Linked DNA regions of Neodiprion lecontei. The protein of the gene in region 2 purifies or fractionates together with the protein of the main gene of each other region. This does not show direct contact. Links are inferred from orthologs where the notes say so. Each region holds a gene or a part of one and is shown on either strand. Other genes may lie near its edges.

Region 1 (7,128 bases), on a different chromosome or scaffold from region 2:
AGTAAGCCCACGAATGAACCTGCAGTCAGTATTATACACATGTCACGAGTCGTGAAGAGCCCGAGAAGGCACGACTTAATTTTTCCGAACATCCGTGCGCTTTAATTCTTTTCCGAATTAATGAATCAGCCGAAGTATTAAACATGATATCGCATCTTTCGACAAACGTATCAACGCTTCGGCGCGCGACTGCGATCTTGTCTCAAAGCCGACAGTCAGCTGTTCAATACAGTCCAGCTAGATGACAACACACTTTGCAACGTGAATATGATCGATATTCTCGAAAACTTACCGACACGAAGTAAGGTGATGTTCCCTGACATGTTGACACAAAGATTGTTCGAATACCAACTTGAACATGGTAGACAGTGTATTCCCAGTAGGGTCCGTTTTGTCCACAGTCATGTAAACTGGATAAATCTACGGAGGATCAAAGGTAGTAAAACCAGTTCAGGTTTAACCACGGTCCCGTGACTTAGTAAAAACGTGGTAAAAACATACAGGGCTCTGCCCATTGCATTGCCTAAGCGGTCGCGACTCCCTATCGCCTGCTTGATACAAAAGTATGACTTAACCAATAAACGAGTTATTGAAAATAAAACACTCTGCAAATATATTGAAGTTGAATTTCGTACGTAACTCTAATTAACCGTTATATTTGCCACTTTGACGAATGCATCTCACGCTCTATTGACAATTCTCATGTAGAATTCATGTGAAAATTCATATCAGAACCTTATACGTGAGTTTATAAAGCAACGAATGAAAATCTAGACTTTTTAAGTACAATCAACGAACAATCTTCGCTCGTCGCGGCGATATTAAACACATATCGACGATTATAAACAATGCAAAGCAATCCATTTCATCTATAATAAAAATTCAACGAACAATATGAATTAAGAAACGATCAACAATCGACGTCTGCACGACAATAATGTACTTAATAAAAACAATTAATCGTGTGACGTATGAAAAAATTATTCAAAAAATTACGTATTATTGTTCACCATGTAATAGGTCTGCTGAACATACCGCATTAAAAAAAGCACCGAATGCTCTACTGCTTGCGATTGTGTGGAACACATAATTCATACACTATTCCAAAAATTTGTTTCCATTTCGTTGTAGTTTTACAAATTTTTAGATTAGCTGATACACTTATTTGCCAAACGTACAAATTTAATAAATTAGACCCCCATCTAAGACATTTTCAATCAATATTTCCGACTTCGGAAATACAATACAAAAAAAAAATGGGAGACTATGAAAACTTCAAAAAAGTCGTATAAACTTCAATTATTTCAGATTATTGTAGTCTGTTATTTTCGCAGATTATAATTTGTCTATTTTCAGATGTGTGATGACAGTGTTAAGCAAGTTTTCAAATGTTGTCACATTAAATTTTCGTTATTAGTATTCAAAAGGTAAGTGGGTGAGGAGCCATCTTAGCGATCTGAAAGCTTCTTTATCGGCGGGTGGCATACGCAATCCCACAACGCCCGTTTCCTTCGAAACAGTTTAAACAGCGTTCATTTTTTTGTATATAGTTGGGGATAGGCTGAACTTAGTTTAAACTTCGATTAACGTGGGAGAGATCGGGCCTAAGTCAATGCCATGTCAATGCTACGTCAATGCTGTAAGTCTTTAGTCAACACGGTCAACACGGAAGATAACAGTCCCATCCCCTTTCATAAAAGGTAGTCTTCAGTTAGCGACGCCGTGGGCACGAGAAACGCGAACACGCATCTCTCGATTCTCTTGATTCCAAGACTATTCTAAAAATGGGAAAGTCTACTGTCTAGTGACGAATCAAAGCGCACTCTGGTTTTCGCAGTTTGAACATTTGTACCGCAAACAAAGTCCCCCCAATTTATTTCCTGCTAGTGCGTCTCAAGTTGAGAAGTGAAGGTTATTTTCTGCCTATTTTGATTTTCACGTAGATTTTTATCGGTTTTCAATATACTCTAACTACTGCTATGTTATCCAGTGAAAAAATACCGTCTAATGTAACTAATAACTATTGAAAATACTGAGATATCTTTTTTTCTCCTACGGCTTTCCAGTGTCAACTGAAAACATCCCAAATCAGATATTCTTGCTCTTTATTAACTCAATTATTTTAAAATTTCACGTGGAATATTTTGAGTTAATTATCTCACCCCCCACTTAGGTCTTCCATCATAAATATCCAACCTGTGTTCTGTAATTAAACTGTGCTTAAATTTACTACATCATATTGGTATTGAAAACTTATCGCGTCATTTGTGCTCTTACTCAGCGCAGCCCGAGCAGGCTTGGTGAAAAATAGCATCTCGTGGCTTCTGCCAATCATCACTCAGTTTTCAAGAGTTATGCATTTAAATGAAAGAGAATATCTTGTGTAAAGGTTTTTTTAATTATCATCCATCACTCGATTAGATTTCCTTGTTTCTCTTAATGTACAGGCTTTTTTCAAGCGCAACGTCTAGTATTTAACTGTATGACGTGTATTTAGGGTAATTCTATACTATTGAACTTAATTTTGATTTTACTCATATTCAGATAGCTCGCTTTCAAAATGGCACAGCGTTTTCCTGTGCCAAATACAGGAAATAATGGCCCACCATCACAGCGATACCCTCCTCCTTCCGTACCACCAAATCTGAGACAATATTCTGGCCCCAACTTCCCGGTAGGCAAGGTTAATTTTGATTCTTTATTATTTACTAACTACTAAGTCTCTCTCTCTTTCTCAAACTACAGCGAGCAACTTTAAATTCACTCGAGTTATTATGATCCAATACTTTAATTGAAAAAAAAAATGATTTTTCGTGGCAATTATTATTAGAATATGACGGCTGAGGTTTTCTCTATTTGTAACATTTTTAAATTTGAAAAAACTCCTTTGTATCCAAATTGTCTACTGTTCTTTGGGTGAATGTCTCTTTACGCAGATGCAGCAAAGGTCAGGTTTTACCCCACCTCCACAAATGGGCAGTGGAGGCCCAGGACCTGGAGGAATGATGAGGCCAAACCAGCCATACACTAATATGCGCCAAGGACCTATGCCCACACCTCCAGGAAGCAAAAGATCTACTGAGCAACGGATACCAATATCTCAGCAAAAACCGTGAGTCCATTTTATTTCTATAATCTTAGATGTAATGATTATTATTGCTCATTTTTTGAACATACCATGTAATTTACAACATTTCTTTGTATGCTTGTAACATTATAAAGCAAGTGAATGTTCAATTTGTCAATTTATAAAGTTATATGATGCTTATGGTACTGAAATTCTTTGCTAAGTCTTTTTCGTTACTGTGTTTTTTTGTACGTTTTTCATGGTACAAGCCCTCACTGTTCTGGATTAGAGCTCAAACTAAGGTACAAAGTTTTTACCAGGCGATGCAGCCATCGTCATAACTAATTTTTACAAAAATCTTTTCAAAATTAATTTTGATTTTTGAGCTATGATTTTTCACGCAAACTCACTAGGTATTTTTGGAACAGTGATTTCTCACATTCCACATCGAAGAAGAAGAAGAAACTGGCAGACAAAATTCTACCTCAGAAAGTACGCGATCTTGTACCAGAGTCACAGGCGTACATGGATTTGCTTGCTTTTGAGCGTAAACTTGATGCTACCATTATGCGCAAACGTTTGGACATCCAAGAAGCCCTGAAACGTCCTATGAAACAAAAACGAAAGTTGAGAATCTTTATATCTAATACTTTCTACCCAGCTAAAGAAGCTGGCGAAGGAGAAGAAGGTTCTGTTGCTTCGTGGGAACTTCGGGTAGAAGGAAGACTTCTCGATGATACAAAAAATGACCCCAACAAGGTATCAATGAGCCCAACATTTTCGTATTATACTGGGAAAAGCGGCATACATGTTTTGGGTTGTTTCATAGGTCAAGAGAAAATTTTCATCCTTCTTTAAAAGCTTGGTAATAGAGCTAGACAAAGACTTGTATGGGCCAGATAATCATCTGGTTGAATGGCATCGTACGCTGACAACTCAAGAGACTGATGGTTTTCAAGTTAAAAGACCTGGTGATAAGAATGTTAGATGTACAATTTTGTTGCTGCTTGATTATCAACCACTGCAGGTACATTTTATCATTAAAACATATTCAAATTGTATCAAGGTGGCGACTGACCGAGTAATCCGAGAAAACCAGAAATAGTCGGGGAGTTCCGTCTATCGGGAAAAGTCAGGGAATTATGATGGTCTACAGGAAAGAAACTGTACTTTTTTGATAAATTGTTTTCAAACTTCAACTAGGCTTGGTAAATTAAGTTAAGCTCGCTTTTGGAAATGTTACTGTGCAGTTTTTACACACACACATACACACGCGCGTGTACATAGCTTTTAGTCATAAAAACCACCCAACATTACCTGAGCTTCATGAAAAAAGGTCAGGGAATTTTAGTCGAGCAAAGTTGTCGTCACCCTATGTATGTAAACATCTAATTATGTGTAATAATTGAGACCCTACGTGCAACAGCAACTTAACTCGAGTTAAGATTTGGACAATGAAATATTGAAAATTATGATCTTATGGGTGTGTAGTGATATCAAAGGTTAGGACAATTTCGTCAAAACAAAAAACGATTGATTTTTTTTATTAAAACACCTGTACATCAGTTAACAAATACTTTATTCATATTTCATTGTCCAAAACTTAACTCGAGTCAAGTTCTTGTTGCATGCAGGGGTTCAATTGACTTATTGCCAATTTTGCAGTTCAAGCTCGACCCTCGCTTAGCTCGCCTACTTGGTGTTCATACACAAACTCGACCAGTCATCATCTCCGCTCTCTGGCAGTATATAAAAACACACAAACTTCAAGACGGACATGAACGTGAATTTATAAACTGCGACAAATATCTGGAGCAAATATTTGCTTGTCCTAGAATGAAATTTGCTGAAATACCTCAACGCTTGAACCCATTACTTCATCCGCCAGATCCAATTGTTATTAATCATGTCATTAGTGTAGAAGGTACGTACAATAATAATCATTGAGCATCTTCGTAAATGAATACAGTTTGATTGACAAAATTGTTGTATGGAGTACATCAGCTTTTAATCTGTCAAACTTTTCAATTGATTTCAAATGTGGTTGTTCCTCGATTTGAAGAATATGAATCCAGGTATAATACTAATTCTTGCTCCATTGCCATTAAAACATTTTCATTTAGGTACAGAGACAAAGCAAACCGCGTGTTATGATATCGACGTTGAAGTAGATGATACGCTCAAGACCCAGATGAACAATTTCTTGTTGTCGACTGCAAGTCAGCAAGAAATTCAAAGCCTTGATAATAAAATTCACGAGACAGTGGAAACTATAAACCAGTTGAAAACAAATCGTGAGTTCTTTTTGAGCTTCGCAAAGGACCCTCAGCAGTTTATCAACAAGTGGATTATATCACAGACTAGAGACTTGAAGACAATGACAGATGTTGTTGGCAACCCCGAGGAAGAGCGTAGAGCTGATTTCTACTATCAGCCTTGGGCCCAAGAAGCAGTATGTCGATACTTTTACACTAAAGTTCAACAAAAGCGTGCAGAGTTAGAACAAGCTCTTGGAATTCGCAATTCATAAACCTCAAACTATCCCATAATTGCCAACGGTATCGTCAGTTAGGCATGCAATTGCCAACCAGTACACTTTCCTGAAGGACACGGTTTAATATGATAATTTTTTATGTGCTCATGCATAATTAAGGCGAACGATCCAAATGATTAAAAGAGTTCTGTGAATTTTTTTACATGATTATAACAATTAAATTCAAATCGAATGAATTATAGCCAAAATTACCCAAATATAACTTTTATTGGCACGGCATTACCAATTTATTATACTACGTCAGGTGAATATGACTATTGCCTCAAGTACAAGTCAGGAAGGTAAAAAGCAGTAATACGATTATATAAAAATTGTATTACACTTTATAAATGTAATAAAAACCATACCATAGATAAAGTCGAACTTTTAACTGTGGATTATACTGCGTATTACCACAAATTTCTGATTATTGATGCTATTCAAATTAAGAAATACGTCAACGAGGTCTGCTGATGCAACTTTTTAATCATATTTAATAATCTTTCAGAAATGTATCGTGAACATTTAACAGTATTTATAACATTTAATATTTTTGCTAATTTCAATTTGCCTCCGTGCATTCAATGTCACTAGATTCATCATCAATACAGTCACATTATTGAAACCCATACCTTTGTGGTACATTCACAATATTAATTGAAGTAAAGTATGTGACTCTTTCACCGGGTATACAAAAAATAAGTCATGATTATACACATTATAGCAAATAAATAATATTGAGATACAGCCGATAAATTTTTGTGTTTGATATCGTCCTCTTGACAACATGAACTCATTTTTTAGTTCTTATATCTGATGCTGCTGAAGTTCGTAGTACTCTGTAATTATTGGATGAAAAAGTTGTAATAAAGCGAGCGAATTCTGTTTGGTGTTTCAAACATTAATTATTTGTCATATTTGTATAGTAAATAGTTTTACAGGTTTAATGTAGAGTATCAGAATAATCTACAGATTTCCACGAAATTTTTTCGTACGGAAAGGATGTCTCAAAGTGGACCAATCACACTCACACAGGGGTCAATTTACAGCGGTTATCATGATGCATGGAAGGACCTGTTGTAGCTTGGAAGGCCTGTTTCAAGGTATTCTCTATACACAGTAAAGTGAGGATGACAAATCCTTTGTCGCTCAAAGTGCTTTTAGGAGATCTTGTGTGCATTCCTTCATACAGTGTGTGATATTCCAGAATCTGCTCCAAATTCGGATTTTCTTCCTATAGACTATACGTTTCTCAAAATTAGGTATTTGTGAATGAAAACTTGGATTTAAAACACAAAAAATGCAGAGTTCCAGAGCATAAACATTGTAATTTTATTTATCAGTTTTGATACCTGTCAAATGACAAAAATCACAATGCTTTCTTAATTCTATTTCATATTTCAATACAGATATACAGAATAATATTGAAATAATATATGCAGATAGTCGCATGGATTCATAACTAGTATCCAGGGCTCGTTATTTAGTCATTCAAAAAGTTTATCTTGGCTTCAAAGCATCCATCTAA
Region 2 (5,170 bases):
TTCATACATTTGGTAGGGACAGAAATGTACTTTGAGAACGATAAGTACATCACTCTGAATTTTCATAGATACTTCAGTGATTTAATTTGTGACAATAATCTCTAGCTATAGATATAAAAATATCATAAAAACTTCAATTCTACAATAACTCACAATTTTTTGATCTACCTTTGGCCTTTGCGCCAGCAGCATCGGATGCCTTAACAAAGGTTCGTTGCAATTTACTTTTTTGCTTCTCCCGATAATCTGCAGCTATTTCTTGAGATAATTCGGCTACAAGCTGCATTGTTTCTTCGGGATAGCTAAAATCATGAAATCCTGAATTTAGAACAGGAATATACAACAGCTGTCAATATTATTTAAAAAATGGTAGCTACATGTAATTGGCTGTTACTGATCAAATAATCAATTTTGAGGAATATAACGAAAACATTTAACTTTCAATGTGTGTAAACAAAAAACAGGCATGCCGATGATTAAAATATGAAAAACATGAGATCTTACTAATTACTATATTAATTTAGAAAGTTTTCTTTGTGTTCGCAGACGTACCGACACCCTAAGAATTCTATGTTTGTGAAAACCTGCGCCAGACATACAAGCTCATCCTCAGGAAAACTATCTTTGTGGGCAAGAAGGAAGCGGCGCCTCAATTCCCAGTGCTCGTCACACTCATGCTCCATTTTGTATTGTTCTACATCCCATTCCTTTTCTGATTCCATTTTCATTGGCTCTGTAGGAAGAACTTGAGAAGTAAATCTAACCTGAAATGCAGAAGCGTTCGTGTTTGCAATCGGACATTAACTGTAAAATAATTTATACGACGAAAAATAAATGTTGGATGACGCGAGCGAAATAAATTATGACCGGTTTAGAATCGGTATATTCTCGTGTGGTTCGGCCAGTATATTTGTGACCATACCGAAGCTTTGTGAAACGTCAATCGTAAAAGATAACCAAAAAATGCGAGCGTTTCATACTTCAAAAGTTTTCTGTTGAATAATAAATAACGGTAACTGAAAATAAAAAATCAGTACAGATCAATAAAAAATTACTACATGTACAAGTTAAACCCTCTGAAGGGAATAAGTAAGATTACGTATACATACGTATGCTGTATGTATTGTATTTGTGAATAGTGATTTATCGTATGCATTACAAGCTTCGGCCCCGTTTACACCAAGCTTGCACGACTCGCGAATACGTCAAACGCGTATTCATTTCGGGATAGTAATCCTGATTGGTGGTTCCGCCAGCCAGTGATTGTGTGACATGCAGCCGCCACTTTTCGCTACAGCGGCGTTTGCCATCACAATTTGAAGGCATGTAATCATATATCATATCACGGATGCATTACGACAAGTTAAATTCAATATTTTGGCAAAATGGAGTGAAAATTCTTTGTAATCATTCACGATAGGCAACCAAAAGTGAGGAAAATAGTTGGTGAATGGGAATTATAATATATGCAATGATTTCTTCACATACATATACATATATACATATATGATGGTGATATGGTGCGCCGACCAAAATAACCAGTATTGGTGGATCGCAATTAGACTTCGACGATCTCTTAGATCAAAATAAAGACCGAAAGCTCGTTGCACCGAAAGGAGATTTTTACAATTTTCGGTTTTGCGTCAACGCGAGTTTACGACGTATTTGGGCGTCGAGGTGTAGACCAATGACTAGAGCGTTTAACTAGAAAACTTCACCTTCCTGAAAACCTAACGGAGAATCCCATTGGGTGAAACGCGATGCCTGAAGCGGTGTGGATTTTCAACAATATTTATACCAGGCTTCATTTATTTAAAAAAATAAAATCCGCGAAAGGGGGGGTAATGCAATTTACAAGATAAACAAAAATGTATCGGCGTCATTGGGGCGATCGACAGTCGGGCATCGTTGACGATACATAATTGGGTCATCGAGTATGTGGCTGTAAGCTACGTGGTCTTTCCCGTAGGATATATCTCGATCGTATATGTCGGAGAGAACGTTCGGAGGGCAACCGGCAGCCTCGGGCAGATTGTAAAAGCACTCGAAATCTCTACGGTATATAAAAAATCGTAGACCAAGCTAGCCTGGCTGGGGCGACGATAGTGCTCTCTGTAGGCGTCTGGCCATGCGGTTAATGCGTGTGATTTCCAATTTCCGTTATCCTATTTTACCGACCAATGGCGTAGTGAACTTCGACGAATCTACATCCTTTCGAAAAATAGAGGCTTCTGATTGGCTAGCGGATCTATTGCCTCGCAAAATGATAGTGGGGATGTAAGAACATGGCTGCAACGCAAGCCGAAAGCCAACAAAACGATGTGCATAGTGAAGTGAAATGTATTCAAAAACATTCTCAACTTGGGGTAAATAGCAGCGTAAAGGAATTCAATACCAATGATGAAGTATCCTGTAATGCGGTGCTTAAATATGTGAATCGCGGTGGGCCAAATAATCCCAGTTTAGCGGAGATGAGTCAATACCGCGAGGACATTAGTGGACACCCTACTGCTGCTGGTGCCGTGTATAGTAGTGAACAAAATATCGGTGGTAAATCGACGAAAGAGGGATCGCTTGGGGGTGATCACACCTCGAAAGGTGAAACACTTGACACAAGTCATCCGCATGGTTTTGTTGGGAACACCTTGGGCGGTAGTGGGGGAAGGGAGTATAACAGTGATGAGTATTCTAGTAAACAATCTGTCAGTGAAGGGAGCACAGGACATTCAGTGAGTCAATGTGAATCTTCTGATGAACATTACCTGGTCTCTAAAATGGAGTCACCGCGCCTCTCTCACTCTAATCCCCCTGTGTCTGCTGGATTCCCGGGGCAATCCCCAAGATTTTTATCCGGTCAAAGTATATCCCAAGCCACCGGCCCTACGCCTACGCTTAACCAATTGCTTCAAGCATCGAGCCCCGTTCATCGGTTTCACTCCAACTATCCAGGCATGGGGGCAGAGCCGTACCAGCAGCCGTGGCCCATGCAGCGTCCACCTGTCGTACCGCCGGTTTACCCGCAGCCAGGACAACGCCCCCCGCAAACTGTGAGTAGAATGAAACTGCGCGTTTCCCTCCATTCGTCGCTATCATGCAATGAGTATTTTCAGCGCACGAGTTTATAGGGACGACTACACGGGTCTCTGGAATCACTGCTCTGTGGGGTAACGTGAACCGGTGAAATTTCTCCAAATTGTCGTGTCCAAGCTCAAGGGTGTTGAGCTACTAGAAAAACGTGGAGTACCCGAGAAGCTCTGTTGCCTCTTTCACGGGAATACCATATCAAAATTCTGTGACAACGTATCCTGCAATTTGCCATTAAAGTAAAGATTGCGTTTGCCAAAATCTTTCGGACTAATTTCATCTTTTTTATAACCTTGTCTTGGGTCTATGGTCTTACGATTACGGCTGTACAATTCGACATGAATGAAAGCTTTTGCATAAAGAGAAAATATAGCCAAAATGTTTATTTCCCACATTCCATGACTAAAAATACAGGGCTTTCTGTTCGTTAAATGAGAAAATCTTCAGATTATCAGTGATTCCGAGTCACGAATACTGAATCTGAATCAAGGAGTTGCTCGTAACGAATAGCGAGCAAGGATTTTTTCTGATTGCATATTCTGTGATAGTTATATAACTAATTTTTTTAAGCATAGCTATCTAAACATGTTAGACAGCAACTTAGGTTAAGGTTTCAGGACTTTGGGTATGCGACTGTTCGTGCTTTCCGATAGCGGGATATTAGACCCGTTGCTTTGAAACTGTGGCTACGTGGACTTTGTGGCAAAATTTCGAGTTGTATGAAATAAATTTAGCAAAGAATTTCCTTGTGACATATATCGATAATGTAGCAAGCATTGGTAATATTCTAACTCAGTTTAGAAGTAATGAGGTATCAAATATTATACATTACAGATATGAAATTGTGTAGTATTCACTGAGCTTTGTCATATTACGTGTAAATGAATAATTATACGTACAAAATGGAAATCTATAGCCTTGTCAGGCTATTTTCAGTCAGCTGTCGTTTCAAATTTGGGATACGCAATATTAATTAATATCTATGTGCATAAGGAATAATGTTTCAAGTAAATAGTACGTGTAACACAAGTAGAACAAATTCCCTAAGGTTTCACATTATTGTTAGGTCAACCTGTACGTCAGAGTTCATGAATTTCAAATGCTATAAATCCTTGATGTGAAACTTTTTTTTGTTTGGGAATTGATTATTCGTATATCAAGAAATCAATACCATCAGTAATTCGTAAAATGCACAAAATTAGTCTTTTGTAAACCTCTGCTCAGTAAGATCTAATCTCACATAATTGACCGCAGGTTAAGTTCAATAATTAAACATTCATCGTACCACCCGGACAGATCATATTTCAATTTTTGTTCAATATTCCCAGTGATTGAAAGATTGCACAAAAGCTTGCAGCATATATCTTGGGATAGAAATTAATGTCGACAATCTTTTCAGGGTTCACCAAGGTTACATCCTGGCCCGGGGGGACCAAGGTCCCCAACACCCATGCCATATCCACCCTACACCCAACGCTACTCATCGACATCCCGACCTCATGTACCGTACAGTCACCATCAGGTAAGCAAAAATAATTTACCAAGCTTTATGTACTGCAAGAGTGAACTGCTGTACGATCGTCATGTATTCTTTAAAGAGAAGAATAAAGATCATGCTGAAGTTAATAGCGTTACCATAATGACTTATGCTGAGGAAAAACTGTTATTTTGTGACTTTGGAAATGATTGAAATCAGTAAACCATAATAAATCAAGACATAGGCTTATATTCCGAAATCTTAGTTCCTTCAGCCGTTGTAAAAATAAGAAAATACTAATGTTTTTCCCAATGTTTCGTTGCGATAACGTTACTAACTTCAACCTCGTGCACAATTACATAGCTATGTACAAGTCCTAGAATCTGACTGTTGACTAAACCTATTATTAGTGTGAGTTTTATGGAGTTACATTTATAGTAGCTCTCAACATCTTTTTGAGCACAAATCCCCTGATAAAACCTTAATTGAAACAAAAAATGTCTAGTAGAATAGGAGAAATGCAAAAAAAAAAACTTAGGAGAGAATCAGATAAGATCGTTGAAGTTGTAATCTTAGAATTGACTGTGCATGTTTCTTAAACATGAATAT

What was found.
Region 1: the proteins of trithorax group protein osa (region 2) and brahma-associated protein of 60 kDa purify together in Drosophila melanogaster (affinity purification with mass spectrometry; 3 studies listed by BioGRID, with this or other methods). This does not show direct contact. The link is inferred for Neodiprion lecontei from reciprocal best matches to the Drosophila melanogaster genes osa and Bap60.

The regions. Positions count from the first base shown.
Region 1 is NC_060261.1:37,097,708-37,104,835, forward strand, and holds brahma-associated protein of 60 kDa, read left to right. Parts: upstream 1-1,617; 5' UTR 1,618-1,639; intron 1,640-1,678; exon of another isoform or gene 1,679-1,700; intron 1,701-1,775; exon of another isoform or gene 1,776-2,009; intron 2,010-2,544; 5' UTR 2,545-2,560; coding exon 2,561-2,683; intron 2,684-2,936; coding exon 2,937-3,112; intron 3,113-3,336; coding exon 3,337-3,369; intron 3,370-3,480; coding exon 3,481-3,826; intron 3,827-3,896; coding exon 3,897-4,094; intron 4,095-4,732; coding exon 4,733-4,991; intron 4,992-5,190; coding exon 5,191-5,597; 3' UTR 5,598-6,356; downstream 6,357-7,128. UniProt on the Drosophila melanogaster protein: Involved in the recruitment and site-specific anchoring of the Brahma complex at specific promoter sites.
Region 2 is NC_060263.1:27,304,249-27,309,418, reverse strand, and holds the start of trithorax group protein osa, read left to right. Parts: upstream 1-2,156; 5' UTR 2,157-2,285; coding exon 2,286-3,047; intron 3,048-4,483; coding exon 4,484-4,606; intron 4,607-5,170. Other genes in the region: NF-kappa-B-repressing factor, read right to left, coding at 169-302, 553-728. UniProt on the Drosophila melanogaster protein: Trithorax group (trxG) protein required for embryonic segmentation, development of the notum and wing margin, and photoreceptor differentiation. Required for the activation of genes such as Antp, Ubx and Eve.